4 linked regions of the Elephas maximus indicus genome follow. The protein of the gene in region 2 interacts with the protein of the main gene of each other region in a pairwise test. Links are inferred from orthologs where the notes say so. Each region holds a gene or a part of one and is shown on either strand. Other genes may lie near its edges. The genes, in order: BCCIP, CDKN1A, CCND2 and TRIM54.

The links.
Region 1: the proteins of CDKN1A (region 2) and BCCIP interact in a two-hybrid assay, tested with the Homo sapiens proteins (2 studies listed by BioGRID, with this or other methods). The link is inferred for Elephas maximus indicus from reciprocal best matches to the Homo sapiens genes CDKN1A and BCCIP.
Region 3: the proteins of CDKN1A (region 2) and CCND2 interact in binary tests that used the Homo sapiens proteins (3 or more experiments, as listed by UniProt). The link is inferred for Elephas maximus indicus from reciprocal best matches to the Homo sapiens genes CDKN1A and CCND2.
Region 4: the proteins of CDKN1A (region 2) and TRIM54 interact in binary tests that used the Homo sapiens proteins (3 or more experiments, as listed by UniProt). The two-hybrid records come from large-scale screens. The link is inferred for Elephas maximus indicus from reciprocal best matches to the Homo sapiens genes CDKN1A and TRIM54.

The regions. Positions count from the first base shown.
Region 1 is NC_064834.1:75,789,271-75,796,510, forward strand, and holds the start of BCCIP (BRCA2 and CDKN1A-interacting protein), read left to right. Parts: upstream 1-4,224; 5' UTR 4,225-4,264; coding exon 4,265-4,423; intron 4,424-7,240. UniProt on the Homo sapiens protein: During interphase, required for microtubule organizing and anchoring activities. During mitosis, required for the organization and stabilization of the spindle pole.
Region 2 is NC_064819.1:100,349,772-100,357,374, reverse strand, and holds the start of CDKN1A (cyclin-dependent kinase inhibitor 1), read right to left. Parts: upstream 3,012-7,603; 5' UTR 2,921-3,011; intron 1-2,920. UniProt on the Homo sapiens protein: Plays an important role in controlling cell cycle progression and DNA damage-induced G2 arrest. Involved in p53/TP53 mediated inhibition of cellular proliferation in response to DNA damage.
Region 3 is NC_064822.1:60,743,794-60,751,279, reverse strand, and holds the start of CCND2 (G1/S-specific cyclin-D2), read right to left. Parts: upstream 3,013-7,486; 5' UTR 2,783-3,012; coding exon 2,588-2,782; intron 844-2,587; coding exon 628-843; intron 1-627. UniProt on the Homo sapiens protein: Regulatory component of the cyclin D2-CDK4 (DC) complex that phosphorylates and inhibits members of the retinoblastoma (RB) protein family including RB1 and regulates the cell-cycle during G(1)/S transition.
Region 4 is NC_064830.1:45,785,236-45,793,142, reverse strand, and holds the start of TRIM54 (tripartite motif-containing protein 54), read right to left. Parts: upstream 3,004-7,907; coding exon 2,836-3,003; intron 1-2,835. UniProt on the Homo sapiens protein: May bind and stabilize microtubules during myotubes formation.

The sequences.
Region 1 (7,240 bases), on a different chromosome or scaffold from region 2:
AGGCTCTGACTTATACTGTAACAGGACCACTTCACCGCCATTTGGAGAAGAGACTGAAGGCAGAAAGGCCTGGAAACAGGAGGCTATTACAACAGTCTGTGAGGAATGACGGCAGCTTAGACTAGCTGAAGTGGGAGCAGTGACAGCATTTGGATCTATTTTGAAGGTGGAGCCAATAGAATGCAGGGGAGAGAAAGAGAAGCCAAGGATGATTCTAAGGTTTATCACCAGGACAACTGGAAATACGGTCACATGTAGCATGAGATGGACAAGAACGAGGGAGGGGAAATCAAAAGATTCATTTCGGACATACCGTATTTGAAAATGCCCTTTTCTGCACCAAAGTGTGCCGGCCCACCTGTGTACCAGTGATGGGTTTACAGACATCCCTGAAGTTTTGATCCTCTCAGCTGAGTAGGCCCTGTGGCAGCCTAGGTTGGCTGGGTGGAATGGAAAAGTACTTGCACTAGGGGGCCAGGGTTCTGGTCTGGGCTTCTCTTCTCTGGGCCTCAATTCTGCATTTGTGAAATGGGCTGGGGACTCTGGACCGCTGGTTTTTCTGAGGGACTTTCCTCCCCATAGGAGAGGCTCAGGAAATACCTGTCCACTCTGAATGCTTTCAACCTCCCCAGCATCTCTGAACCAGGGAAAACAACCGCCTTTTCTCTGAAAACCAGGGAAGTGACTTAAGGCCACTTCACTGGTAAGAAGGAGTCAGGCCTCAAACCCACACTTTCTAACCTGACACAGCCTGATGATCAACAGTGACAGCAGCTATCACTATAGCGAGCACTTACTCTTTTGGTGTTTACTGGGCCAAACACTTCACATGCAAGGTCTCATTCTCACTTAAAACTGTGAGGTAAGTATCATCCTCATTTTACACCGGAGGAAACCAAGGCTCTGAGAGGTTTGCATAACTTGGCAAAGGTCACACAGTATAGAAAGTAGCAGAGCTGGGATCTGAATCCAGGTCTGAAGCCCAGGTTCATTTTCCTAACCACCTCTCTGCTTCTCTGAGCTAAAGATGAAGGCTGAGGCAGTGGATAAGCGATCTCCAATGGAGCTAAGTTCCTTGGGGTCAGTACAGTGTTTTCTTAAATGACAAAACCACAGGTGGGCCATTTTTCCACGTGTGCCGTTCTAATCCACAGTCTGACCATGTGCTCAACCCTGAGAACTACTCTGTGGACACAAAGTAAGGATGTTTTCGCCCTTCTCTTATGAAAGAAAAAAATTATCAAGAAATCCATGATCTCTGAGTGCAACTCTACCAAAAGGCCAGCATGGTACAGCCTGCCCTGTACATGGTAACCTACTCCAAACCCGTTGCTGTCAAGTCGATTCCGACTCACAGTGACTCTATAGGACACAGTAGAACTGCCCCACAGGGTTTCCAAGGAGCAGCTGGTGGATTCAAACTGCTGACCTCTTGGTTAGCAGCCGTAGCTCTCAACCACTGAGCCACCACAACTCCCTCTACATGGTGGGAAGGTGTTTTTGCATAGTTGGGGGACCCATCCAGAGCCCTGATGTCTAAGTATATTAATACCCATGTTGTGACCAGGTAGACAAGAGACTTCCAGAAAACATGGAACTCAAAGAACACAATCACGGAGACTCTGGGGTAACGGGGACCTTCAGGGATGCTGATGAATAATCACTGAGAAAAGGCCACTAAACTTCTGCTTAAACCTCCTGAGCAAGGGTAACCTCACTACGTAGAGGCAGCTCATTCCATTTTCAGACTCATACACATGTAACCCTTTCCTCATTTAGAGAAAAAAAAAAATGGAGAATCACAGACCCCATCCTCAGAAAGCTGGTGCCTTCCCTATTTTCTGCCAAGTAAGTCTTTAAAACAGGCTGCAAAGTGGTAGCCTGTGGGCTAAATCTAACTGGTAGATGCATTTTATTGGGCACAGGTTATATTTGTATTATATGTAAAAATCCATATTTCATGTAAAAATCCCTAACTCCAGCTTCTCTTCAAATGGAAAGATCCGACAAGATGAGGCCTACATTTCCACAGGGCTAAAACTGGCCAAAGGAGTTCCTGGGTGGTGCAATGGTTAAGTCCTCGGCTGCTAACTGAAGGGTTGGAGGTCCAAGTCCCCCCAGAGGCACCTTGGAAGAAAGGCGTGGTGATCTACTTCCAAAACGTCAGTCATTGAAAACCCTGTAGAGCACCGTTCTACTCTGACACTTGTGGGCTCACCAGGAGTCTGCTTCTGACACCTGTGGGCTCACCAGGAGTCTGCTTCACAGGAACTGTTTTTTTTTTGGTAACTGGCTGCAGTTGAGCAGCAGGTGTCTGTTGTAGACGGGCATACACGCTCCAGTTGGCCAGTCCCCTCCACTCATATCCACTGCAGTAGCTGATTCCATTCAGACTCACAGAGACCCTATATGACAGGGTAGAACTGCCCCACTGGGTTGCCAAGGCTGTAATCTTTGCAGCGACAAAGATGTGGCAATCTGCTTCTGTAAAGATTACAACCTTGGCGTCTCGAGTCTTAAACGCTAGCAAGCAGCTATCTAAGATGCATCATCAATTGGTCTCAACCCAGCTGGACCAAAGGAGAATGAACAACACCAAGAACACAAGGTAATTACGAGCCCAAGAGACAGAAAGGGCCACATAAACCAGAGACTACATCATCCTGAGACCAGAAGAACCAGATGGTGCCCGGCTACAACCGATGACTGCCCTGACAGGGAACACAACAGAGACCCCTGAGGGAGCAGGAGAGCAGTGGGATGCAGACGCCAAATTCTCATAAAAAGACCAGACTTAGTGGTCTGACTGAGACTCGAAGGACCCCAGTGGTCATGACCCCCAGACCTGTTGGCTCAGGACAGGAACCATTCCCAAAGCCAACTCTTCAGACAGGAATTGGACTGAACAATGGGTTGGAGAGGGATGCTGGTGAGGAGTGAGCTTCTTGGATCAGGTGGACACTTGAGACTATGTTGGCATCTCCTGCCTGGAGGGGAGATGAAAGGGTGGAGGGGGTTAGAAGCTGCCAAAAAGGACAGGAAAAGAGAGAGTGGAGGGAGAGAGCAGGCTGTCTCATTAGGGGCAGAGTAATTGGGAGTGTGTAGCAAGGTGTATATGGGTTTTTGTGTGAGAGACTGACTTGATTTGTAAACTTTCACTTAAAGCACAATAAAAATTGAAAAAAAAAATTGCAGCCTTGGAAACCCTATGGGGCAGTTCTATTCTGTCCTATAGGGTCACTACAAGTCAGAACCCACTGACCGAAACAGGTTAATCTTTATAGGAACAGATTGTCAGGTCTTTCTCCTGCTGAGCAGCTTAGCTGGGTGGCCTCCAACTGCCAACCTTACAGTTGGCAGCCACGCGCTTGAGCGCTTAAACGGTGCGCCACCAGGGCCCCCTTTAGATTATCCCACCAGTACCTTGAGCATTTAAGATTCACACATTCTTTTTTTTTTTTTTTTTTTAAACTTTCGGGCCAAGAATATGCATTTAAAGAGCGTCAGGGGATTCGATCCCGACTCACTGCATCACTGCCAAGTGTGTGCCCGGAGCTGTGCGGGGAGACACCGAGGGAGGCCCTTGCACGGCAGGGTCGGGTCTGACCTGCCCTGGGGAACCTGACAGGACAGGTGACCTTCCAGGCGGGCTGGACCGAAGGGCGACGCCTCGGGCCCCCTCCCCACTCTGTCCCTCACCCCTGCGGGCTGTCCTCCTCCGCACGGTGGGCGGTGACACCTACCTGGGGCGGGGGCACGCGTGGGCTGAGACGGGACCGAGCCCTGCGCTGCGCCCGCCACAAGCCGGAGCCCAGTCGGGGGCGCGCACCTTGCAGGCCCCAGGCAGAGGCCGCAGGTGCAATGGCATCGGTGGGCTCCGCGCACCCCGTGCCCGCGCCGCGGGGACACCCGGCACCCCAGCCCGCGAGTCCGGGAGCCCCTTTTGCTCAGCTGGGAGCCCGCGCGTGCGCGCCGACAGCCAGGTCACGGAGGGGGCGAGGCGAAGGCTTGGCGGTTCGTACCACTCTGTGAAGGGGCGGAGTAGCCTTGGAGGGAAGGAGAACAGAAAGAGAATTTGGCCGCGATAGAGCCCCCAAACTGCACTTAACTCTGAAATTACGACCGTGAAGTCCAGCCGAGGCGCTGGAGCTGGCGTCCACTCAGCCCTGAGGTTCTTCACCGTCTTCCTCCCCCTTCCTTGAGTGGTTCGGTCCGGAAGGTCGGGGCGGGGGCGGTGCGCAGGCGCGGTGCCTGGGGCGGCAACATGGCGTCCAGGTCCAAGCGGCGTGCGGTGGAGAGCGGGGCTCCGCGGCCGCCGGGCGGTCAGCTCCAGCGCGACGAGCAAGAAGAGGAAGATGGAGTCGAGGATGAGGAGGAAGACGAGGAAGATAGTGGCGAGGAAGACGACGAGGTCGTCGACGAGGTGAGCACCACGCGCTACCTCGGTTTGTTTATATCCGGGAAGACACTGGCTGTCAAAGCCACGTGGAAATTGAGCCGCCTGGAGGAGCGGCTTCCCCGTCCCTGAGGGTCTGGAGGCAGAAACTGGGGATGGTAACTGCTTACTGAAGTCCACTTCAGTCTTCTCTACACTGCAGCCACAGCCTTGTCATCCCACCCCCATCCCAGAGGGAGAACCCGCCACAACCACAGGCATGAGTCGTTTTCCGTAGTTCTCAGGCCGGAGCTCCAAATCCTTCCCAGGCCACCAAGGCCTGCAGAGTTTGTCGTCTGCCCACCTCTGCCGCAGCTCTGCCCCTGTTCCCTCCGCAGCTTCGGCCACACGGCCCGATTTCAGCTTCCTGAAGGCTTCCTGTGCCTTTCTACCCCACAGGCTTACAAAGGAGCCCTGGTGGCCAGTGGTTAAAGTGCTCAGCTGCTAACTGAAAGGTCAGTGGTTCCAAGCCACCAGCTGCTCCACGGGAGAAAGATGTGGCAGTCTGCTTCCATAAAGATCACAGCCTTGGAAACCCTGCGGGGCAGTTCTACTCTGTCCTATAGGGTCTCTATGAGTCGAAAAGGACTGGAGGGCAACAGTTTTTTTGTTTTTGGTATTAAGCATTCAGTGGTCTTAAGGGTCATCCAGCTCTAATTACGCATTCAACAAATATTAAGTACTTAATGCTAAGTATTATGGAGCCTTGGTCGTACAGTGGTTAAGTGCTCAGCTGCTAACGAAAAGGTTGGCAGTTTGAATCCACCAGCTGCTCCTTGGAAACCCTATGGGACAGTTCTACTCTGTCCTACAGGGTTGCTATGAGTCATAGTCAACTCGATCACAGAAGCTTTTGAATGCATAAAAAAAAAAAAAAAAGAAAAACCAAACCCATTGTCTTTGAGTTGATTCCAACTCATAGCAACTCTATAGGACAGAGTAGAACCTCTCCATATGGTTTCTAAGGAGTGCCTGGTGGATTCGAACTGCTGAACTTTTAGTTAGCAGCTGTAGCTCTTAACCACTACACCATCAGGGTTTCCTTGAATGCATAATAGGTACCTCAGACTTAACCTATCCAAAGTAGAACTTGCGGTCCACCCACCTCCTCTCCTAGTTTTCTGTCTCTGTAAATTGTCCCCAGATTCATCAGTTTCTCAAACCCAAATCTTGGGAGTTAACTTTAATGCCTCCCTTCTCCTCACCCCACATCCAGTCCATCACTAAATCCTGTTAGCTCCACCTTCAATACCCGCACACTTCTCATTGACTCTACAACCATCATTGCACATCATTGCTCAACAACTGTCTTTTCAGTGATGTCCCTTCTAAATTACATGTCCATTCTGAATCCTGTTTCCTTCTCTGTAAATTGGAACAAACATCTGCCTGACAGGGTAATTGTAAGGCGTGAGAGGACACAGCAGGCATGCGGGGTAGTGCCCAGCACATGGTAAACACTTACTGGTTTTTCCTCCAGTTGCTGTCCAGCTGACTCTGACTCATGGCAGCCCCACGTGTGTCAGAATAGAACTGCGCTCTGTGTAGGGTTTTCACTGGCATATTTTCAGAAGTGGGTTGCTAGGCCTTTCTTCTGAGCTGCCTCTGGGTGGACTTGAACCACCAACCTTTCAGTTAGTAGCTGAGCACATTAACCAATTATTTATCGTCATATAATAATGCTCTTATTTCATTTTACTTGGATCCACAATCAATGCCTATGGAAGTAGCAGTCAGGAAATCAAACGACATATTGCTTTGGGCAAATCTGCTGCAAAAGACCTCTTTAAAGTGTTAAAAAACAAAGATGTCACTTTAAGGCCTAAAGTGTGCCTGACCCAAACCATGGTATTTTTCAGTTGCCTCATATGCGTGTGAAAGTTGGACAATAAATAAGGAAGATCAAAGAAGATTTGATGTCTTTGAGTTATGGTGTTGGCAAAGAATATTCAGTATACCATGGACTGCCAGAAGAGTGAACAAGGAAGAAATACAGCCAGAATGCCCTTTAGAAGCAAGGATGGTGAGACTCCATCTCATGTACTTTGGACATGGTATGAGGAGGGAGCAGTCCCTAGAGAAGGACATCATGCTTGATAAAGTAGAGGGTCATTGGAAAAGTGGAAGACCCTCAACGAGATGGATTGACACCATGGCTGAAACAATGGGCTCAAGCATAGCAAATGTTATGGATTAATTGTGTCCCCAAAAAATGTTTATCAGCTTTGCTAGACCAAGATTCCCAGTATTGTGTAGTTATTTATCATTTTGTGATCAGATGTGATTATCCTATATGTTGTAAATCCTAACCTCTATGATGTTAATGAGGCAGGATTAGAGGCAGTTCTCTTAATGAGGCAGGACTCAGTCTACAGGATTAGGTTGTACCTTGCGTCAGTCTCTTTTGAAATATGAAAGAGAGAAGTGAGCAGACAGGATGCCGACCACATACCCCCAAGAAAGAAGAGCCAGGAGAACAGCACGTGTTTTGGACCCAGGGTCCCTAAATTGAGAAACTCCAGACCAGGAGAAGACTGATGACAAGGACCTTCCCCAGAATCAAAAGAGAGAGAAAGCCTTCCTCTGGAGCCAGCACCCTGAATTCGGACTTCTAACCTCCTAGACTGTGAGAGAATAAATTTATCTTTGTTAAAGCCATCCACTTGAGGTATTTCTGTTATAGCAGCACTAGATGACTAAGACAGCAATGATGTGAAGTTGCCACAGGACCAGGCGGTGTTTCAATCTGTTGTTCATGGGGTCACTATGAGTCAGAACCAACTTGACAGTACCTAACAACAACAA
Region 2 (7,603 bases):
CCACATCTACCCCACCCCCCACCTCTCACAATGAACAGGGAGAAACAACTTTAAGTCTCAGCTCACTGGGGAGGGTGTAAAGGGCAGGTGCTCAAAAGGCTATGAAACTTATTCCGAAATCACACAGTTAAAAAGGAAAGGGCCTCTGTCCCACAAAGGGGGCAACGGTGCCGTGGGCAAATCCATCGAATAATCTTTGTTGGCTCTCTTCAGGGCAGGGGGTGAGATTTATTTATATATTTTTATGTGCCAGGGACTGGTCTAAGCACTTTACAAATATTAATCCTCCGAGCACATGCGTATATATTAGCTCCTTTACACAGAAAAGGGAACCAAGGCTCAGAGAGGTTAAGTAATATACCCAGGGTTACAATGGATACAAGTAGATTTGAATCCAGGCGTGTCTGCCCTGAGTTCTATGCTCTCAGCCCCTACACCCTGCTCCTTCTCCAGTTTTGAAGTTTCTTAACCAGGTATGTCCAGCAGGCTTACCTGGAGGGCTTTCTCAAAGCACACATTGGTGGTGCTCCTTCCCTAGACCATCTTAATCCAGACTGGATTCAAGCAAGTGTTTGGTGCAGCTCCCCAAGAGGGTCTGATGGGCTCCCCTGGGGTGACAGCGAGGCGCACAGAAAGGCTGGAGTGGGGATTCTGGGTCTCCACGACCCAATGGCACAAGGAGGAGGAGCCCGCTTTACGGTGAGCTGGATATTCCCCGGCTTCTAGGAGCTGAAGATGGGTCCCGCAGGATCCCTCTCCCCTTCTACCATTCGTTGCCTGATGGCTCTTATGGGCCTCTCCTTCCCCATTAAAATCTGCTTTCACGCCCAGTATCATAACTCCCAGCTCAGAAAAAAACACAAACCCTCGTTTTACAAAGAAGAAGAGCTTCCCTCGTTGGGCTGCGTGTCTTAGACCAAACCCTAGTGTGACACTTCAGCCATATTTTAATCCCCAGGTAAATAGTAAACGCTCAGTAAATACTGTTGAACCAATGGGGTACTCTTTTTAAGTGGCGGTATGGGGAGAACAAGGTTGGAGCAGCCCAGGGGTAGCGGCGGGAAGGAAAGGCGGGCGAAGCCTGATTCCGTTGGAAGGGATGTTTGCTATTCCAGACAAGGCCGGGAGGGGGCGCTGATCTCCAGGAAATCACGCGCAGGGTGGGAGGTGCGTGGGCAGAGCCTTAGACAGCGAGAGGGACAAATTGTGATGAGTCAGTTTCCTGCAAAGCGCTCCCGCCAGCCAAAACCCCCCTTCCACTCCTGCTGCGCGTCACCCTGGCGTAGGGAAGGAGGAGACTGCGAGGGAGGGGCCGGGGGCCGCGAACACGTCACTCTAAGCGGGCCCGGCTTCCGAAACCCCCGCCGCTGTTGGGAAACCGCGCGTTCTCGCGCCGTCTCTGTCACACACATACACACACACGCACGCACGCACGCACAGGCGCGCCAAGATCTGGCCCTCCACCTTATCTCCACGCCCAAAGCACGGGATGAGTCAGATCCCTGGAAAATAAAAATAGACGGGAACAACGAAAATAAAACCGCTCGAAAGTCCTCCCCGAATCGCTACGTGGAGGGAGGGAGACAGGGAGGGAGCTGCCCCGGTGCCCCAAAGTACCAAACCGAGTAACAAGATACTTTTCCGCACGAGAAGGGTGCAAGGGTCCACCGGGCGCCCAAGACAGCTCCCCAAGTGACTCTGATGGTGCCAGTGGTCCGTGGTCCGCCCTGGGTGGCTGCGCCCGAGCGCGATTCGCCCTTCTGCCCCGCTCAATTCTTTGGCCCTCGGAGAGGGAGTTTGGGGCTATGCCGGGGGCGCCTCGAGTCCCTGGATCCGAGTCCCGAAAGACACAGGCCTTGGACAGCATCTGAACCCTCGGAAGCCCCATCTCGCAAAGACGCGCCCCCTCCCACCTCCCACTCCGCAAAGATGCGCCCCCTCCCACCGCCCACCCTGGAGTGGGCTCAGCTCCGGCTCCAGCTCCGGAGTCCAGCGTCCCAACCCGAGGACAGGCTGGGCGGGGTTCTCCCGACGGCGGTGCGAAAAGGGTAGATGAGACCCCTGCGCTTCTCCCACGGAGAACCCGCGCCGCGCGGCAGGAGCCGGACCCCAGGTCCTGGACCTTCCAGTGCCCCGGCTTCCCCGGGAACACGCTGTGCCAGCCAAGTAGGTCACTGTGTTGATGGGGGACTGAGACTGCGGAGGGGCGGAAGGCTTCTGGGGCGCCCGCCCCCCGCCCGGGCGGGGTTTTGATCTTACCCGGCCCGCTCCCCGGGGTCTCCTTGTCACCGTGAGTCACCTCCTCTCTTGTTCTTAAGGGACGTGTCCTGGCACATTCCCGAGGGCCGGGGACACAGCCCGCGCTGACCTCAGCGCCAAAGGGGTGTCGGGCACGGCGGCGTCGGGGATCTGGACCTCACGGGCCTGGGTCCTGGCGGCACGAATTGGGTCCGAAAGCCAGAGAGCGGCCCCGGGGCGGAGCCCACTTTAACCTGCTCAGCGCTCCCCCGGCGTCCCCCTACGGCCTGCGGCGGCCGGGGCCTCCGGACCACGACGAGAGCCAAGCGGCACGGGGGGTCAGGGGGGCTACCCTACAGCCGCAAGCTCCGAGGACGGCCCCACCCACGCCTTTCCTAGCTCCAGGAGAGTTTCAGGGAGAAGAGAGCGGGCAGAGGATCCCCAGTACTGGTGCCCTCCCTCCCGCCTTGAGGCCCCAATACATCCCGACCCCCGTCACACGCACTTACAGACACTCGTGCGCGCAAAGCCCAGCGCACAGACACACGCCTGTCATTCACCTGCCGCAGAAACAACTGTAGACGCAGCACACACACACGGACACATCCGGACACACACGCAGACACACTCAGCTCAGAGTTGCCGGCCCAGGGTCTGCTCTTGTCTGTCGCGGCTCCCTCACCTCGTCTGAGTGGCTCGCTGTCTCTGCGAATCCGCGCCCGGCTCCGGGTGTCCAAGCCACTGACTCCAACAGCCGCTCACACCTCAGCTGGTGCTGCCTGGCGCAGCCTTGATATATAGCCACGGCTCAGGCACGCCTCGGGAGGCGGGACCCGCCGCTCGGCCCACCGCGCCGGGGACCGCCCTCCCCGGGGGCCCGGGCGGCTCCGCGCCCGAGTCTGGGCGGGGTTCCAGGCCCTGGGACAACTGTAGGTCTCGGAACCTCGGGAGCTGCAGGAGGCGCGTCCCGTCGCTCCTGGGCTTGCGCGCTTTACACATTTCTCCACGAATTGAGCCACAAACCCGGCTTTTTCCAGTTGAAGAGTGAGTGGGCGCTTCGCAGGACCAGGACGGCGTAGTTAGGAGGACCCCCCCTCCCTCTTCCTGGCCCCCCGCTGGCGGACTCCAGGCAAGGACTTACCCATCACAGCTGAAAAGATCACAAGGAATGGCATTAATAAATAATATTCCATAAATAATAAAAATTATGTACCTCACTTTGCAATTCCCAGAAAAGCCTCACTATCCCACCACAATTCCCACAGAGCTCTCACTAGACCACCTCTCCTTGATGCACGCTGGGGCAACCAGACACCCTAACAAGCATCCTTGAGGCCAGAACAGAATTCGATCTGCTTTATTTCAAGATGAGGAAACAGGCCCAGTAAACCTAAGGGGTACAGAGCTGGCGCTTGTCAAGTGCCTCAGAGAAAGAGGGAACTGGGGACACTTCAGAAGGACCAGCACGGTTTCCAGGAAATCGGAAAATGGAACCAACCTCCCCGCCTGTTCCTCTCCCAGCTTCTCACCTCAACAGAAGAAACCACTGATTACAGCAGACTTGATGTTTAAGAAGGGCAGAAGGTCATTACACACTTTTAAGAAGTACCTATATGGGATCAAAGTGACAGCAGCAACTGGAAAGATTCAATAGGAACCTTAGAGGGCAGTGAGTTTATGTTAATGGGGGAACAACTCAGAAATGGAGGGTGAGAGTGGCTGCACAACTCAAAGTCCGTCATCAGTGTCCCTGAATTGTACGTGTAGAAGTGGTTGAATTGGTATATGTTTTGCGGTGTATATTCTTAGCCACAACTACCAAATCAAAAAAAGAAAAAGAAGGGGAGAAGGATTTGGTGATTTATCTCCTGGATATTCCCACACACACTTCACATTTCCTGTGGGGGAAATTGTTGCCCAGAGAATCTAAGTGATTTAACTCAGGTCACACAATAAATAAATGGCTATGGCAGGGCTGGAACTCAGGTTTTTTACCTCCTGCCATGCTTCTGCCTGCTGCCTTCTCTGCTTCGGTGACTCTAGAATGGGGGGTGGGGGGAGGGACTCTGCAGGACCCCTCATTTGCAGGCAGCTTACTGAGGTAACATTAAAGCCAGACAATTCTGGAAGTGTCCGCTGGTGTTTCTGACAGATACAGAGCCACGTGAGATGTCCAGCCATTCCCACTCACCCTCACACCTTAGCCCCCCTTGCACCCCACCTTTGCCTCTTTCCTTCCCCTGATGCATTTGCAGTTTGTGCTTTAAAAAAAATTATAAAACATGATGAACGTGTCACTGAACGGTACATGTGAAGACTGCTGAAATGGCAAACGTTACCTATTATTTACCACAAAAAAAAAAAATTTTTTTTTTAATATTGCAGAGAATGGAGTGTAAATCTGAAGAGAAATCCCATTAAAAAATAGAATCCAGGCTCTTGGAAGGGCTGTAATTACTGACATCTCGGGCTGTTGAGTGTCTGGAAATCTCTGCCCAGACATGCCCAGTCTTCTTCCTCTAAAGCAGCTGACCTCAGGGAACAGGCTTCTTCCTCTAGTGTTGGGATGGGAGCCCCTGTAGAAGTGGGAGGGTGCTGCCCCAGACCCCTAACTCTGCCTGGACCTCAAGTCAGGCCAGAATTGTCGCTGGACCTCAGGAGGGTCCCAGAGAAGTTGAGGTCCCAGGGCCGCCACCCCCCAGCACCTGCCCCCACCTCCCTTCCACCTACACCACTCAAGTGCTGGGTTGTCAAATGTCCAATAGAGGACAAGCACATTCCCCAGCTGCCTTGAATCCCCCCAGCTTTCGGGCATTTCAGATAGACTTGACATTATCTGTCTGTTTACTTTGGAATTTTTTTTTTTTTTAATGAAGGCTTATATTGAATTATTTACAGTTTTGTGGTACTGAGATTCACAATGAAATAATTCTTTTTGTTGTTGTTATTGGGAAGTGAATTTTTTAATAGCTTCTAGCTCCCCACCACCACCATAATGGGATTCAGCAAATATTTAGTAAGCACCTACTAAGTGTCTAGCACTAGGTACGTTAAAAAAAAAAAAAAAAAAAATGTTTGCAGCATGTAGCCAGGCACATCCTTCAAGGGAGGATTTCTGTCTTGAAGAGGGCAAAGGAGCAGGTTGTTAGAGGTCACAAGAGCTGATTCTCACCTTGCATGCATGCATGCGCGCGCACACACACACACACACACACACACACACACACAGCTGTGCCAGTTCCCAGACCAATCCCAAGAAATCTACTGCAAACCAAATTTTCTGTTCCAAGGAACTCAGGCTCCTGAGGGAAGACTCTGACCCAAGGAGGCCAAGATCTCTCTGGAGTGTACTGCAAACCACATTTTTTGTTCAGTGAAACTCAGGCCCCTGAAGGAAGACTCTGACCAAGAAGGCCAAGATCTCTCTGGGGTCTCTGGGGGTTCCCCATCTCCTACCACACCCTCCCCACCCCAAAATAGAGAGCAGCCACCAGCCTCTTCTATGCCATGGCTCAACTTGTTGGGACATGTCCCTAAGGGCCAGAGGGCCGATGGGGGCCACTGCCTGCTGCCCAGGCATGCTCCCCAGGAGGCAAGCAGCTTAGGGATGGAAGGAGTCTCAGCCTAGAAGACAGGAGGGTCTAGGCCAACCCCACATCCCCACCCAGCAGGCTCCAGATAATGGAAGGGAAAGGTGGAAAGCACAGGCCTGAGGAAAGAGGATGTGAGGAGGGCCCCATGGTGGCTGCAGGAGCTACCCAGGAAAGGAGAGGAAGTGCTGGGGATAATGTCACCATTTCTCAGAAGAGGTCTGGGGAGTCCCAAAACAGGGACAGCCAGCTTTCAGAGGAATTCAGCTCCACACAGAGTCCCAAGAAGCGAGACCCCAGAGAAGAAGCAGAGCAGAGATATTACACCACCAAGCAGAATAAGTAAGCCCTGCTTTTTTTTTTTTTTTAAGAAGAATGAGATTGGGAGCCCCCACCCTCACCTGATTGGGGGCTTTATGCAACCAGCACAAGGGTCAGGGCTGACCATACAGAGAGGCACAGAAATTGTGACAGAATTTGTGCCATACAAATACTTCTAGTCTCCCTAGCTTACTAGCCAAAGCCTGAAATTTCGCCATTAGAAATTAATTCCTTTGACTTAGATTTGGTTCTTTGTTAAATAAGATCGTATAGGAAAAGTGCTCAGCATAGTGAAATCACCTCACAAATTTTAATTATGATTACTGCTATAGGACAAACACTCTGAGAGAAGGCATCCCTTGGAGTTTAGTAATCATTTGCACTTTTGTGAGTGTCTTTGGTATGTGTCCCAGAAAACACACTCTGAGCAGAGATTTTCATGCAGGAGGTTTATTGGAAAGTGCATTCAGGATCAACACCTATGAGGGTGTAAAGGAAACAGGATCCAGCAGAAGGAGGAATTGGGCTGTGGTGAAGGCTGATCCCGCTGGAAGCTCCAGAACTAGGGTGGTTCTGCAGAGTTGCTGAATTGAAGCAAGGGGGCTACTGTGACCAGTGGCTTGTGGGGACAGAGGGGTGGCAAGGGAACTCCCTTATCTGAGGCCAATTCCTGAAGAAGGACTCAGTTGTATTAACAGCCAACACTCCAGACCAGGTCCTTCAGGGGTTCTGGGTGGCACAGCACAATGTGAATGACTTAACCATTTAGGGACTAACCTGTTGCCGCTAAGTCGATTCCAACTCATAGTGACCCTATAGGACAGAGTAGAACTGCCCCACAGTGTTTCCAAGGCTGTAATCTTTACAGAAGCAGACTGCCACATCTTTCTCCCACGGAGAAGCTGGCGGGTTCAAACTGCTGACCTTTCAGTTAGCGGCCAAGCGCTGTAACCACCAGAGTTCCTTTAGGGACTAGAAAGAGGCAAGGAAATGCTATGGACAGAGGCCACCTGAGGAGCAAAGGGCCCCTCTGTCTCTTTGATCATAGTGTTCTCTCTTCCTGGTATGGGTTTCCCTGACCAGTCTACCTCACCTCCACTCCTTTCTCTGCCTGTTGAACTCCTTCTGATCCTTCATGATCCAACCCACATGCCCCTTGGGGGTGAGGTCTTCTAGGGCTCCCTTTGGCTTCCAACGCTCTTGGGGTGCAAGCCTCTCAACTACGCTGTGCTGGCATGCTTGGTCTTCGTGCTGAGTGCATCCTCTGAGCTGGGAACCTGGGGGTGGGGGTATGAGCTCATATTTTATTCATCTTTGTACCTTCTAGGCCTAGCAGCCTCAGCTTGGAACTCAGTGAATATTTATGCAACGGCCATTTTTGGCCTACACTCTGAGGTGAGGCTTCAGTGCCCCTGTTTCTGAGCCCTCTCTTTAATAGTCATCCATCTATTCAT
Region 3 (7,486 bases), on a different chromosome or scaffold from region 2:
AAGTTCCCTGGCAGAAAGCTAGAGGCAAGATGGGACCACCAGGACTGTACAGAGGTCACAACCCCATCAGAGGTACAGGCACAGGCCTCGGACTCCTCTAGTGAAAGGCTAACATTTGATTTTGCTCAAAAGCTAATGAGCTGATATTTACTGTACAGCTACTATGCGCACGTACTATCTGAGACTAGACAGATACACGACACTAGCTTTAAGCTCCAGGTTTTTAGACAAACCAACACATTCCTATTATGTAAGCACATTCCTTATCTTGTGAGATGTCAGACTACATTCTCAGAATTCAGTGACTGAAAATGTGAATTTAATTGAAGTATTATCCTTGTACTCCATCCTTCCTCCACACACACACACACAATTACAAACGAATCTCACCAACACAAATCTCCATGTTGGTCTCATTTGTCCACGTAGCCTCTGTGCTTAGAACACTGCCCAGCAACACAGTAGGAACACAAAAAACAGACATGTGAAAAAAGTGTGAACCTTCTAGTGGTGGGGAAATTTGGGATCCTGAGAATTTGTTTTGGAAGGAGTAGGCAGAAAGCACCTTAGGCCAGGAGTAAACAGGGTGAAGAGCAGCAAGGGAGGGAGGAAGGGAGCAGTCATTACCAGCAGTTCCTGAGGCTTGATGGAGTTGTCGGTATAAATGCACAGTTTCTCGGCTGTCAGAGGGATGGTCTCTTTGAGTTTAGAGGCCAGGAACATGCAGACAGCACCCAAGAGTTGCAGGTGGGACTTAGGGGTCGGGACCCCAGCCAAGAACCGGTCCAGGTAATTCATGGCCAAAGGGAAGACCTCTTCTTCACACTTCTGTTCCTCACAGACCTACAATAGGAGTGGGAACGGGTTGGGAGGGGAAAAAAATAGTACAGAAAAAAGAAGAATAAAAAAAAACTATGGCAAAAACAAAAAAATATTTAATTTTTGTGGGGAGGGGGAGGGGGCAGACTGCGTGACAAGAATAAAAATGAAGAAACTGGGGTAAACCTAAACAGCCCATCCAAGTTCGAGTACTCCTCGGAAGCCTAAAAAACGGGGTGAATTAAAGATCCAAAGCGGGGAGTCAGAGAATCGCGCGGTGGCTGCACGACGCTCCCTTTAGCCACTCACTTCGTTGCTCACTCTCTAACTCACTCTTTTTTGGATTTCGTCATCTTTTCAAAAAATCAATAAAAATATTCTGGAAGCTCCAGGGGTCTCGTGCTTGGTCCCATTCGGTCCCCCAGACCCTGCTCTATCATTCCCGACAATTGGAAAAATTGCCGGCGGGGGTCCCTTCGGCCCAGGCGCCGCTATTGGGGGGGTGGGTGGGGAGAGGTGGGGAAGAGAGGGGGAGGGAGAAGAGGAAGAGCGCCGCAGCCTCGGCAGCTGGAGTCGGAGCAGGGGGGACGGTTTCAAAAAATAATTAAAAATCGAGAAAATATCCTAGAAAAGCCCTTTCGGCGTGAAAACCCCAAGGAGGAGCTAGACTTCCCAAAACGGAGGTTTCGGGTGCCGGAAAGGTCTGTATCTCGACCCCCGGAGCTCTGGATCCCGGGGGAAAACTTGAAGGGGTAAGAGCCGCGGCGGGAGTGTCCGGCTGCGGCCCACAAGGGCAGAAACTAGGGAGCGTGGTGACCAGCTGGGGAAAAGACGGGGGCCGGGAAGCATCCGGAATGAGGCACGGGGGGATCTGACCTCTCATTTAGGGGTGCCCCGATATCCTCCCCCACACACACCTCCTCCCCCCCTTCCTACCCCACCCAACTCTCCGCACCGAGGAAGCAGGAAAGCCAAACTGTAAGTAACCTTCGTGAGGTGGGGGTCGGAGGAGAGGGCAAGGTTAGAAATGGGGTGGCCGGGATACGAGGGTGCGAGGGGGAGCGGGCGACGTCTCCAGACTTTCCAATCGGACTTTGCAAAGCAACATGGCGAAACCACGGCAGGTCCAGAGCTGTGCATACGTGGGCACACAGTTTGCTCGGCAAAGATTTGGAGCAAGGGTAAAGAAGTGGCTCTTTTGGGTTCCCCTAAAACACACGTTTCTTCAATGTGACTTCCGGGGCTCCTGAATTCCCCGTTTCTCTCCTCCTCCCGCCTCCCTCCCCCCCCTTAAGTGCCAACGCGGAGTCGCGACCACACGCGGGGACCCGAAGCTAGGAAGAATTTGCTTTGGCATTTTGGGGGGCTACATTTTACTGTGGGTCCCCATGTCGCGCTCCTACTGCCTTCTTCACCGCACGGAAAGCAGCCACTGCTTCGCAAAAGGCAGGTCGGGATGGGGGTGGGAAGAAGAGGAAGCCACATGCAGGCACACGCGCGCGGGATGCTCCCCCACCCCCGCCCCAGGACAGCCTTGTTTCTCCCGGATTTTCCTCACCTCTCCTCTCCCCCTCCCCCAAATTAATCTCGCATCCAGCAAAAAACCGAAACGAAGCCACGCGTCCCACCAAAGGGCTCGGGATAACCTCGCGCCCAAGAGCGGGGAGGGCGGTACAGAGACTACCCTGTCCAGTTTCAGGGTCCCTGCGTGGGGGCTGTGAATCGGGGTGGGAACATGGTTCCTAGAGAGCGTTGCCTACGTCCCTACCTCCAGCATCCAGGTGGCCACCATCCTCCGCATGTAGGGCTGGATGTCCTTCTGCACGCATTTGAAGTAGGAGCACTGTGGAAGGTAGCGCTCCTCGATGGTGAGCAAGTTCTGCAAAATGCGGTCGTCGTAGAGCAGGTTGGGGTCTGGCACGGCCCTGCGGACCGGGTCCACCTCGCAGCACAGCAGCTCCATGGCGAGCCGGGCGCGCACTGGTTCCCCTGCTCTCTTCCGACTGGAAAAGTTTTTTTTTTTTTTGGAGGGGGGAGGGGAGGGGGATCCCCTTACCGCCTTCCTTTGGCTAAATAGAGGGTTTTCGGGAGAAAGTTCGGGGCAGAGAGAGAAGCTGGAGGAGAAGAGAGGAAAGGGATAGGCGGTGGGAGAGGAGAGCCCCGGGGGCTGCTGAACTCGCGCCTGCCCTCCCCTTCAAATTTGTCTCGCTCTGCCCAGCTCGCTCTTCTCTCTGCACTCTGAGGCAGTGACGCAAGCTGGCTGGGCAGTTAGTTCTCCTCCCTCTCGCTTCGCTCCCCTCTCTGGTTCCTCCTCCTTTTCCCTCCCCTCTCGGTCCTCCCCTCCTCCTCCTTCCCTCCCACCCTTCCCCTCTTGTTATTAAGGAGAACAGCAGCTGGCCCGACCAAACTTCAAACGCGGTCCCCCGCCCCCCTACCCCTCTCCTTAGCTCTCCGAGGCCCTCTCCCCCTATCCAGCCCCGCATGCCAGGGGCCCCGAAGAGGGGAACCCACAAAAAGACCGATTCCTATGTATGCCCTCCAGTGTCGTACATTCTCTGTAGGTATATCAGACCAAAATGCGATCCTCCAACTTGGGCTTCTTCAAAACTGGTCCAAATACCCCCGCCCTTGTAGTCAAGATCCAGGAATGGCGGGTAGATTACTTGGACATGGGGTAGGAACAGACAATTGAGAAATTGATCTCATAAAAGTAATGAAGTGATTTTATGAAATAGCAACCACGCATACTTGAGATGAAACTTATGTGTCATATACCTTAAGTTTATGTTCTGGTCATCTCGAAGCCATTTGAAAAGCCTGATTAAAGGGACAAGGGCATCACCCCCCCCTCCAGACGTGCGTGGAGAGGAAGAGGAGGAAGGGGTTGGCGTTGGGGGGGGGCTGTTTCTCCGAAGAGATACAATATGACCCTTGAGCAAAACTCCTGTTCTTGGGGCACTAACGGAGTCAGTGGAGGACGCAGTGATGGGCCCAGGGCTGCTGCAGACCGGGGGCAGGGCTACCAGCGGCTCCTCCGCGGCTGGCGGCCACGCAAGAAAAACCCGCTTCCTCGCCTCTGCATCTGCTGACAAGCCGCCCGAGGTGTCAGTGCCGAGCGTGGCCACACTGATACAGCTTTCTAGGAAATAGCCCGGGAGGGGGGAGGGGAGGGGGCGAGGGAGGGATTAGGTTTGGCTCCCCCTCTCTCCCCCTGCGCAAACAACACCACCCCTTCCTTTCCTCAGAGGCCCGAGATTTCTACCCTAGGTCCTTCGCCTGCATCCTCGCCGCTTTCCCCGGGGTCACGCCTCACTCGCCAACCAGGGCTTTCTCCCGGGGAACGGGTTTGCGGTGGAGACATTGCCAGCGCAGCCCGCTCTGACACGTGCTCACACGCACCCTCGGGTCAAGGCTGTTTTTACAGAGGAGATGGTGGCGTTTCCTTACCTCCTTCCTCCCGCCACCCTGCATTGCAGTGCTTTTCACTTTGGGAGGAAAAGGAGTGAGCCCAGCGCCCCTAACCTGTTGGTCGAGCTGGCACGTGCAGTGAGCTTGGCGTGGTTTGGGGCTCTCTGGACACAAGGAGGTGGACCCAGGACCTCCTTCTCCAAGAATGGGGGCCGGTCCAGGGACAAGGAGAGCAAGGCGGGGGTGGGTGGGTAGGGAGGCCGGGCAGGGTGAGCTGTTCACAAGGTTCCCTGAAAGGCGGAGGAGGGGAGGTGGAAAAGAGAAGGCGGGGAAAGAATATACCAGAGGTGCAGGCGATTAACTCAGGCCCCGAAGCCAGCCTCTTTAAAACCAGGGTGGGGCGGAAGGGGTGGGTGGTTGTGGGGTGGGGGGGATATCGCTTTAAAAGGGTGAGTAAGAGTTTGGGGCGCCGTCTCCCCTCCCTCTATTTGCATAGCCAATAGCTCTGGGGCTCCTGCTACTGCGCGCTGATTGTTACCGGGCAGATTACTTTTTTTTTTTTTTTTTTTTTTTTAGTAGGACGCGTTCCCCGCTACATCAAAAGGAAGCCAAGGGAGGGCGGAGGGAGAGCGGGGACTGGGGCGGGAGAGGGCCGGAGAGAAGCTGGGGCGTCTGCGACCTTATCAATAGCCGCGGGAATTAGTATCGGATCTACTGTCTGTAAAGAAAGGGGAGGGACGGGGGCGGGCGAGAAAAATGTCTTAATTGCTGTGGAAGCCATTAGCTTTCGGGAAGAAAAAAAAAAAAAATAACACTGAAAAAACCAAGTTGCAAACTCAAAATGAAACAGTTCCGCGCAGCGGATGACACCCGGGCTGAGTACAGTGTTCACAGGAATACAGTCGGGTCCCTCACAATCACCTATTGATTTTAGTCAAGTTGGACTTCCCGACTTAAGCTTTTGACTCACTCCGGATAAATACACTGACTTACATTTTAAGACCCCATAAAGGAATTACTCAAACGTCACCTCAGCCACCTTTGAGTGGATCAAAGAAAGCTGCTGGGGCGGGAAGGGGGAGAAGGTGCAGGTTGAGAGAGGTATTTTTAAAGTATAAATCTAACCCGACAGGCAAGGACAGAAGCCTAAGAGAGCTTTCAGGCTCTTGACATCACTTGATAACTAACCAAGCACGGTCTTTTTCTCCACCTCCCTGCAGCGGAAGCCTTTTGAGTTCAGGGTTCCCTGAAGGGGGCCTGGGGAAGAGACGGGTGGTCGTCCCCAGGGCCTCGCCCACCCCGGGGACAAAGCCTGGGTGGCGAGTGCTCCAGTCTCCGAGTGAGCCGAGGACTCTCTCGCCCCTTCTCTCCCTCCCTACCCCACCCCCGTCTAGCTTTACAGAGAAATTCCGGGGAGGGGGGGCGTTGGGGCCTGTTAGAGGGGAGGGACGGAGAGCGTCGGGGTGGATGCCCCCCTTCCGGCGGCCCTCTTCATTCTTGGAGACCCGCGAGTTCGGGCGCTTCCCGCGAGGCAGGCTCAACTTTTGAAAGCCTCTTTAAGTTCCCCCATTCACTTCCCCTTCCTATTGCGGGCTGTTCCCGAACATTAACCTCGCTTCGAAGCCGTCCCCCTGTCGTTTTTCAGTCTCTTAACATGTGGGGTGGGGCGTGAGAGGGTGCGGGGGTTGGCAGGAGCTTCTCCAGGAACCTTGGACTGGAAATTGAGTTTTCCCTTTTGCTGGCCACTTAGACCATGTGTTAAAACCTGAATTTTGCTTGTTAAAAAACACTCCGCCTAGCACGCGGGAAAAGGCACGTTGCCTCCTGGGCAAACGTGCGCTCATTTTCTTTGAGTGTACACTCAGGTTTAGAGAAAAAGTGCAAGCGCCTTTGCTCTGGCTTTGAACTCAAACTGGGCACTGTGGGGAAAAAAAAATGTTGGTTCTTCCTTATCCCTTTCTCACCTGTCCTTGTAGGATCGGTGATAAACTTTAGCGAACACAAGTTTTATTGGACTTTTATTCCCTCTCTCCTCGCGGGCTCCCCAGCCCCCACTGCTCGCGTTTCGGAGTTTCGGTTGGAAAGTGTACAAAACCCTGTAGGTGTAGGGTGCAGCCGGGTGTTGGGTGTTTATAGGCACATCTTTGCAGGAACCTGCAAGCTAAGCACACACACTCCCAAGCTCACCTGGCAGATGCCGAGCCAGCCAGGTGATCCCGCGGTAGGCTCAAAGCTCAGGAGCTGCGCGGGTTCGAATCTGGCCGCCCCTGCACAGAGGCGCTCAGGCCAGGTTGGTGGGAGTTGGGTTCAGGCGCAGGAACGGGGGCCACCGCCCCTCCCCCAACTCTTCCAAAGAATAAAGCTGCGTTTGTGTTTCATCCATTGAGGAATGGATGGTCAGAAAATTGAAAACAGAAAAACCCGACGGTCATTTAAAAGTAGATGGTGAAGGGCCCCCTGCCTCAGTTCCTGACTGCCCGAGAGCCGGGGACGGAACTAGAGGAGGAACAGAAAGAGAACTGGGAGGTGATGGGGAAGGAATAAAAGCAAATTAGGCGGAAAAAAAAGTGAGAAAGGAAAAGACCGAAAGGCGAGGAACCGAAAAGCACAGGCAAAGAAGGAGGGTGGGTGGGGAGCAGGAGATTCGAGGCTCCGGGAGACTCCGGCAATGAGCTTCCAGGTGTGAACCTGCGGCCCGAGATCCCGAGCTCCGCGCTTCGGGGGGCGGGGGGGAGACCCTCCAACCCCGGACCCCTGCCCATCGGATCTCGGGGACGCTCAGGATCCAGTGGGGGTCAGAGCCAAACAGCCTGTTTATTTAAACTGCGGGTTTGGGGTACTTGAGCTTGGAGCGTGCGTAATCCTGAGGCAGCAGATGCGGTAGGCGTGGGTCAGAGACGCAGCGCCTGCCGTCTGTTCACCCACCTAGCATCTAATTCCCCTTCGTCAGGGGACGGGGGCGGCGGGAACTAAAAAGACCCGAACTTCCCCCTCTTCCTGTCTGATTCAGCTTCAGGACACGCCTCACAAGACCGAAAATAGCCCTGGAAATGCGTTTGTTTTATAAAGTGAATTTTCCAAAAAGATTTGGGGCGGGGGGCGTCTGGCTGCCGGCGTCGGCGGGGCCCTGCCTCCCGGGAAGAGAAGGAAGCGGCCGCTTGGCCCGTCCGCCCTCCCCCGGGCGCCCCCGAGAGGGGGCCGCTGGGCGGCGGACTCGCGCCTCCGCTCGGGGAGCCACCACGCGGCTTTTTCGCGGAAT
Region 4 (7,907 bases), on a different chromosome or scaffold from region 2:
CGGTGCTTTGTGTTTTATTCAGTTTAAATTCAGAGAAACAGAGATGCATTACGGCTCCAAAGAAAACTAGTTAAATTCTAATGGCAACTAGGTCAAAATATGTTATGTATGGGGACAGGGACTTGAAGTAAAAGGCAAAAATATGATTTCCTCCCATCCCCTTAATACTGTACAATATTTTCAATTAAATGCTTTTATCTTTTCAAATCTTGTTTGCTGGCTCTCTGGTTAACCTGATCTTATAAAATCACAATTCCCCAAAATTCCTGCTTCACAGAAGCCTTTAGAGCGTTATGTCCATCACAGCAGTTTTTAGAGCAGCAAAACACTGGACAATGTTTTAGAGGACTGCTAAAATAGACTGTGGTCCAGCCGTAACTAGGGAAAACCACAGAACCATTAAAGAGAAAGACACAGATCTGAATGTGTGGGGATGGAACAATCGCTGAGAGTGAGTGAACAAAGCCAAGTGTAAGACAATGAGTCTAGTATGCTCTTATTTGTGTTTAAATATGCGTATATAAATACATAAGTGCAAACATGTACCTCTCCACAGAAAATTTCTGGGAGCACACCTAAGAAAGCTGGGAATGGTTACCTCTATCCAAAGAAGGAGACTGAGGGTCTGAGGTGAGTAGCAGATTCACTTTTCATGATATAAACTCCTATATTATTTGAAAAAAAAAAAAGGTATGTGTATATGTATATTGCTTATTAAAAATATATGATTGTCACTTTTTAACTTTTATAATAATGAGTCCTGTTAACTTTCCAGGCAATGTTCTAAGGTGTTCTTCCTAAGTAGTTTTAAGATCAAAACAAAACAAAACCCATTGCTGTTGAGTCAATTCTAAGTCATAGCAACCCTATATAGAGGAACCAAAAGCCCTATTCTTATCCCCATACTCAGAAAACAGACGATCTGATTGTGCCGAGTTGTCAAAATGTGGAGGCAATGTGTGAAAAAACTAAATATGTTCATCTTTTAGAGGGGGATGTACTGAGATGTATATACATAAGTGTGGCTGAAGAACTGGGTCAGCCTCCCACCAGGCCTTCCCAAATAAAACATGAAGGAAACAAGCTGTTCACTCTTATCTTCTTGGAAGGCCCAGGGGCTGTTCCACATCACTCCCAAAGAACCATCCCGAAGCCTGGAATCACATTATCTCCCAAATAATCTGTACAGTGTTGGACCCAAACCCAAACCATCCCCAGTTCTCTCTGGGCCCACATCAGTATTCTAGAGCTTCATGGGACCAAAGCAGTGTGCCTGGGTACAGAAGACCAACTGGAACAACAGAGGTCATTTAAACATCTTCTAGTCTCCATGTATGTGACCTATTCCTGGGTCCCACCACACAATTACTGTGTGGCTTGTACTTTAATATCCTGACCACTTTTTTTTAAAGGGCACATTACTTTAGCTTTCAAAACTTCTTTTTGCTTTCACATATTTCAGGTTCAAATGAGGGGTGTTTCAGTATAAATTCATGAGATTTTTGCCATCCCCCCCACCAGGCACCTCAGTCTAAAGAATGTTCAAAATTAGACCAAGGGAAAAAACAGGATAGTGGACAAAGTTGCCTCTCTTATATGACTTGATGACCGGGATGAGCAGGCATAGGAGTCTACACCCCAACAGAGGGAAAAACTTCTGGCTTTGTACTCTAGAGCCAAATAATGGCAGGTTTGGACACTTGGAGGAATAGGGGATGGAAATAGGCCTCGATGAGAAGACGGTAAAAGAGACTGCAGGTTGCTAGGCGGTAAGGAAAGATGGCAGACAGCTGACGGGCAAGGGCACAGCTGCAGGACAGCCCCATCTTAGTTTGCCCTTCTTTGCCCCCAAAGAACTTAAAAGGGAAGCATTTTCTTGGTTAAGTTAAAAATCAATTGTGTTCAACACATTTCCTCATAATTTCTGATACAGATGAAGAACTTATTCGTGAAGTTCCTTATCACTGTCATACATACAAAGCCAGCTCTGGCCTATTTAGAGTTATTTCATTTGCAAGGTATCCAGGTCTTTCCCTCTCACTTTCTCTGATCTTTGTTCCATTTCATAGCTTACTAGTACTCCAGTGTAGCACAGGGCAAGAAAGAAAGCTCACTTATAAACCACTCTGGTATATGCTGCTTTTATATTTGAAACCAGTGGCTAAAATGGTATCTGTGAGATCGATTAGTTATGGAAAGTAAAATTTCTTATCTCCCTTCTCTCTGTTTAAGTCAAGTGACCTCAATGCTTTTCACCAGTAGGCCTCTTTACTGAACACTCTGGAGCAGAGCACAGGTTATGGATATAAGCTGGGGAGAATTCCCACTGTGTCTAACACTGCCCCCACAGAATCAGGGAACTGAGCTTTGTCTTAAATACAAGTAGTTTCTCTGTCATCACAGACCTTTTCTCACAGGATTTATCTTTAAATATTTTATTATCTTGTTGATCTTCTCCCCATATTTTCCATATCACTCTCAAAATCTGAAGCTCCACACTGGAGTGCAGTCTGTCACAGGCTGTGACAGGGCCTGGTGTGGGATCACCTCCCTCCCAGTTTCTATGGGATCTTCTTTCCTCTGTAGGTGCTGGCATTCCAGCTGCTGTACTTCATAGGCTGCACCACCAGCCTACGGCGCAGCTGCTGACTCATGCTCACTTTGGGACCTGCTAGGAGTCAGGCCCTTTTTCTGCTCTTCTGTCACAACAGCCACCACCCACCTCACACAGCATGGTACCCATCACCTTCTCGGGACTCAGCTCTGACCTGGCTCGAAGTCTTATTGCAAGTCTATGTTTCTTCACCCGTCCCTACCCCCGCCCGGGGAGCCCACCTGGAAGACGTCGTTGGCACACTTGCGGCACAGGTTGTGTTGGCAGGGCAGGATCACCACCGGTTTGGAGAACATCTCCAGGCAGATGGGGCAGATGAGCTGCTTCTCCAGGTTGTCCATGCTGTGTGCATCCCCTAGCAGCGGCTTGAAACCCACTGCGAAGTTCATCCCCTCAGCGATCGTGCCTGCCCTGGCCTTGGCCCTGGTCCTGGCCTTCTCTCACTAACTCTGGACCCTTCCTCGTTTACTTTAGACAGTCTGCAGATTCTTATGTTCCCTTCTGTTGCTCACTCTTGAAATAGCTCTGCTATCTCTCCTGTCCTTCCTCTAACAACTTGCCTCGTCCTTAGATGGCTGTCTCCAGACACTTCTGTCTCACCCTGTTCTCTGCTCTATGCCCTAGCCAGGCACATGTAGCTTAATCTATCCCTCCCTCTGTCCCTGGAAAATTCTCCTTTTGTTTCTCAAACGACTTTCTCTTGTTCACTCTGTGGGCAGCACTGTTTGTCCCTCACTCCACAGAGAGGAGATTAACTTTAACATGGGGGTGGGGAGGCAAGGGGCATCTGTATGTCATTCCAGCTCCCAATTTAGCTCATGTAAGGCGAGCCACAGCTGTCATTGAGTGAGTGACCCTGACTCACTCAGGAATGGGTGGCTCCCTTGAGCAACAGCAGGGAGTGAGCTTCATTGCTTATGGTGAAGGGTATGCTAGCAGAGGTGTCAGTCTCTCATTTGCTTCCCCTCAGAAGGCTCCCGTGAGCCCCTGACCTCCATGCTCTGGCTTGGGCTCTTCTTCCAGGGCAGTGACACAGAATTCTAAATTAGCCCGCGTGAAAGGCACTATGCAAGTCCCAGGGTGGGAGGACAACTCTCGCCAGACCTACAGTCAGTGACAGTTTCCTCCTCCACAGACTTAGCCAGTGACCCTGGCCCTCCTCCTTGAGACCCCGTGATTCAGAACAGAGGCATCAGAGACTAGAGAGACATTTCTGGTTCATTCTGTTCTTGCCCAGCCCCTTCTCATATCACCCTAGGAAAAGGAGCTAAAGAGGTCAGAGGTGGCTGTTGTGCCAGGGCCTGGAACGCCTTTACAAGAATGCCCCTGTGAAAGTGTAAGATTCTGGTCCATGAACACCTCACAGGAAGAACTCTGATGACCTTTAACTTTGTTAGGAAATTGGGAGAAGGTGAGGTGGGCAGAAAGGACCTGAATGCCAGGGACCTATTTTGGACACCAAGGGAAACAGTCTCCAGGGAAATTTTAGAGCACTGACAAAATACATAATCACAAGGCTCCAGGAAGCTTCTGCCCCAACCCCACAGTTGTCCTGGACTCTTCCTCTCCAGGCCAGGCTGGTCCCAGGTTTGAACACTGGCCCCCTATCTTTTTCTCCTACACGCTTTGTTCTTTATCCCAGGCCCAATTTGTCTCCCCAGCCCCCTATCCCCGGCCAAAAAAAAAAAAAAAAAAAAAAACGCACTGGGATTGGACAAAAGCTCTTTATTTACTGACATTTCTTAGCCCTTATCTCAGTCAAGGGAGAGAAGTTTCAGGAGTTACTAAGCTCTGACCCTGGGTGTATGGGGAATAAATGGTGTGGAGGAGATGCCAAACAGGCAGAGCAAAGAGGCACATGTGGGGAAAGGGTCTGTAACAGTCCTTTCCCTATCACGTTTCATGCCCTTGTTTTAAGAATAAAATACCTGGTAATGAGCCTCTATAAGATGTGGTAGAAAGGATGGAGGCAAGCAAGCACTGATGTGTGAACTCCTGTCAACCTACAGGACCAATATTAATGGTTGCTGTGCTGGTAGCTGAAGTCCAGGGAGAAACCAAAGGTGGGATGACTACTCCTAAGCCTCAAATACACTCATACTTCTCCTGGGTTGACTCACATGACATGGAATGTGGTGGGCAATGCCAAGGGCATGGGCACCCGAAGAAGGTGAGACTACTCCCAGAAAGCTGTAGTGGCTTAAGAATGAGGCTGACACAAGGAGTTCTTGGTACACAGAGTTGTAAGAGAGGAGGGTTAGCTGGTACAGCAGCTCCAGGGATGGGATTCACCCTGCCCAGGCATCAGGATCTTGGTGGAGATATCGCAAGTGGCTCAGGGACCCGACCAGCTGACACTCAGTCAAATCCCAAGGAAAGCACAGGTTAAACAATCTTCAGGAAAAGTTTGCCACCACTGCCTGAGGCCTCATAAGGGTAGGGATGGGAGAGCTGCTCTCTGACAGATTGACATTGGTACTGGAGCTAAAAAAGAGTAGCTGGGCAACCCTGTATGGCTGGGGTTGGTGGTACTATTAAGAGCAGAGATGGTATCCTCACTGGGATGGACAGCATCAGTGCTTCTGAAGTTGGAATTCTTACAAGAAGAGGGGTCAAATCAGGTTCAATGTCAGGACAAGCCTACTTGCTCTTCTCTTCAACATGTCCAGTGGACTGGGCAGCAAAAGGCACCCTCATTGGGTCAGCACCTATGGGGAGAAGATGTTGGCATCTTACTAATCAGAAGGAATGGTCACCCTGAATTTAAAGCAAACCCCCTATGAGTAAGATCATAAACACTTGTAGTCAATACTACAAGGATATAAACTTTCCACTAATCACTTATCTGAGGTTAATCTATATTCCTTCCTTATCCTTTAATTATTTTTGCCTTTCAGTTTTCATACCTTACTCTTCCGCATCTTTTAATAATGATCTTCATCGACAGAATCTTGCCCTCTTCTAAAATTACTTTGGGTTGCTATAATGGAATTTGAAAAACAAATATATAAATACTTAGCAAGAATTTTTTAGTCTACTGGTGAGAAAATAAGAAGCCCTGGTAGTGCAGTAGTTAAGCACTTGGCTGCTAACCAAAAGGTCAGTGGTTTGAACCCACCAGCCGCTCTGTGGGAGAAAGATGTGGCAGTCTGCTTCTGTAAAGATTACAGCCTTGGAAACTTTATGGGGGCAGTTCTACTCTGTCCTATAGGGTTGCTATGAGTCGGAATCCACTCCACGACAAGGGGTTTGGTTTGGTTGGTGGCGAGAAAATCTTTACCTTGCAGTTACTCACTAGCATCACTAGGTGGCAATATGTGTAAACTTCAGTCAACCCACAGTTTTAAAGTTTAACTACTTGGGGTGGAAATCTCAAACATTTCATTTTCCTTTTGAGTAAATGCAATAAACTGCAGCCTCTAACCTGTTTTCAATTACTGCATTTTCTAGGCTTACTCTCCCACCCCATTCCTTAGCTTAATAGTCATGAGAGGCCAACACTACATTCAAACTGTCATTTGGGGGCATAAGCCCTTCAGAAACAGATCTTATCCACCTCTTCTTCACTTACTTAGGGGTTCACAGTTTCACAGCGCTTTCTCACCCCCAACTATTTCTTTCATTCTTAATCCAGATTTATCTCGCTGTTGTTGCTAGGTGCCAGTTGATTTCAAGGCCTAGCGACCCCATGTGACAGATTAGAACTGCCCTAAACGGTTTTCTAGGCTGTAATCTTTACAGACGCAGATCACCACATCTTTCTCCTGCAGAGCTACGGGGTGGGTTCACACTGCCAACTTTTCAAGCACTTAACCATTGTGCCACAGGGCTCCTCAGATCTTACCTCAGTTCCTGCCTATCCTTCTCACCTGATCTCGAAGGCTGATTCCGGACGTTTTGTTGATTGTTTCTCTTAGCTGCCTCCTCAGGTGGTGGCTTAAGTGCTCCGCAGCAAAAGCAACAGCAGCAACAGAAACAGCAACAAGTGAGCAGGCAACATAGGAGGACAAGTGTCTACAAGCAGGAGGGAATGGTCTCAGTCCAGCAGTCCCTTCTATATTGCCATCCAAGCTTCCCTCCCTGAATCCTCCTAGCACCCAGAAAATGGGACAACAGATGCATTTGTCCTAGGAGAGGAGGGTCAACTGGCCCTCCTTCCTTGGTCTTTAGGGACTAGGAAGAATTGTGTACCTTGAACCAGCAACTATTCGCTATAAAATAGTATCTGACGCCTTCTTCGCCAAAGTGATCATATATATATATTCCCAATGAGCCATGTCGGTCGTAGATTTTCCGCTTCTTAGGGTCACTCAGTATGGCGTGGGCTGTGTTGATCTCTTTGAATATTTCTGCTGCTTGAGGATCTCCTGGATTCTTGTCTGGATGATACTTCAAAGCCAGTTTCCTACCCAGGCAATACCCATAAAGGAGGGTGGAGAGGGGATGGGGGATGGCTGGGGAGGGAAGGTTAGGATGAATTACAGGGATGGGCCTCAGAGAGTACAGAAGGAATGCATGAGATGTGGTACAAGGGATGGGGACAAGCAGCGAAAGTCTAAATTCCTTCCTGTGCCACACTGAAGAGGATGCTGGCCCCATCTGGCCCCAAAGTGAAGGCTTAGAGTTTTAGAAATGGGTTTAGAAAGCAAGGTAGAGAGAAAAGGGTTTAAGGGGGAAAATTCCAGGGTTAAATAAGGGGCTGAGATTTGAACCTGTAGGATTTTTTTACTTCATCAGGCGAGGCACCCTTCTTAAGCTCCAGCACTGCATAGAGGCTTTTCCCACTTCTAGACAACTGGCGGGCTGCTTCATCCATATGAGCCATAATCTGGGCCAGAGCAGAAGTATTTGTGGTAACTTTCACAGGTGAGGCTGTGAAGAAGTGAGCTTTCAGTGACAGGGAATTCGTCTTCATGGGTTAGGCATGTAACTGATTACAGTGGGGCAAGTATAAGGCAACAGTGAGTGGGATCTGTGACTAGCAGGAGCGTGCAGTTGCCCAGAAAAGGCACTCAAATGCAAAATTTAAAGACGAAACATCCTCCCCTCAAATTTCTCAGTGTCCTTCAGCTACACAGACCTCCAGACACCGTACCTCCTTGAGAGGCTACACAAGGAGAGGCCTATGTTGTGGGAAGAGATTCATTTTGTCCAGGGCTCCTACTGCCTTAAGGCAACAGCCCTGGGCTTGTCCAAGCTCACTGATGGGTTTAGAAGACTAGGGTGGCGCCAGCTCCTTAACAGGCTGGGTCAGGAATCTGGAAGATCTCCTATTACCAAGGAGAAACAATTC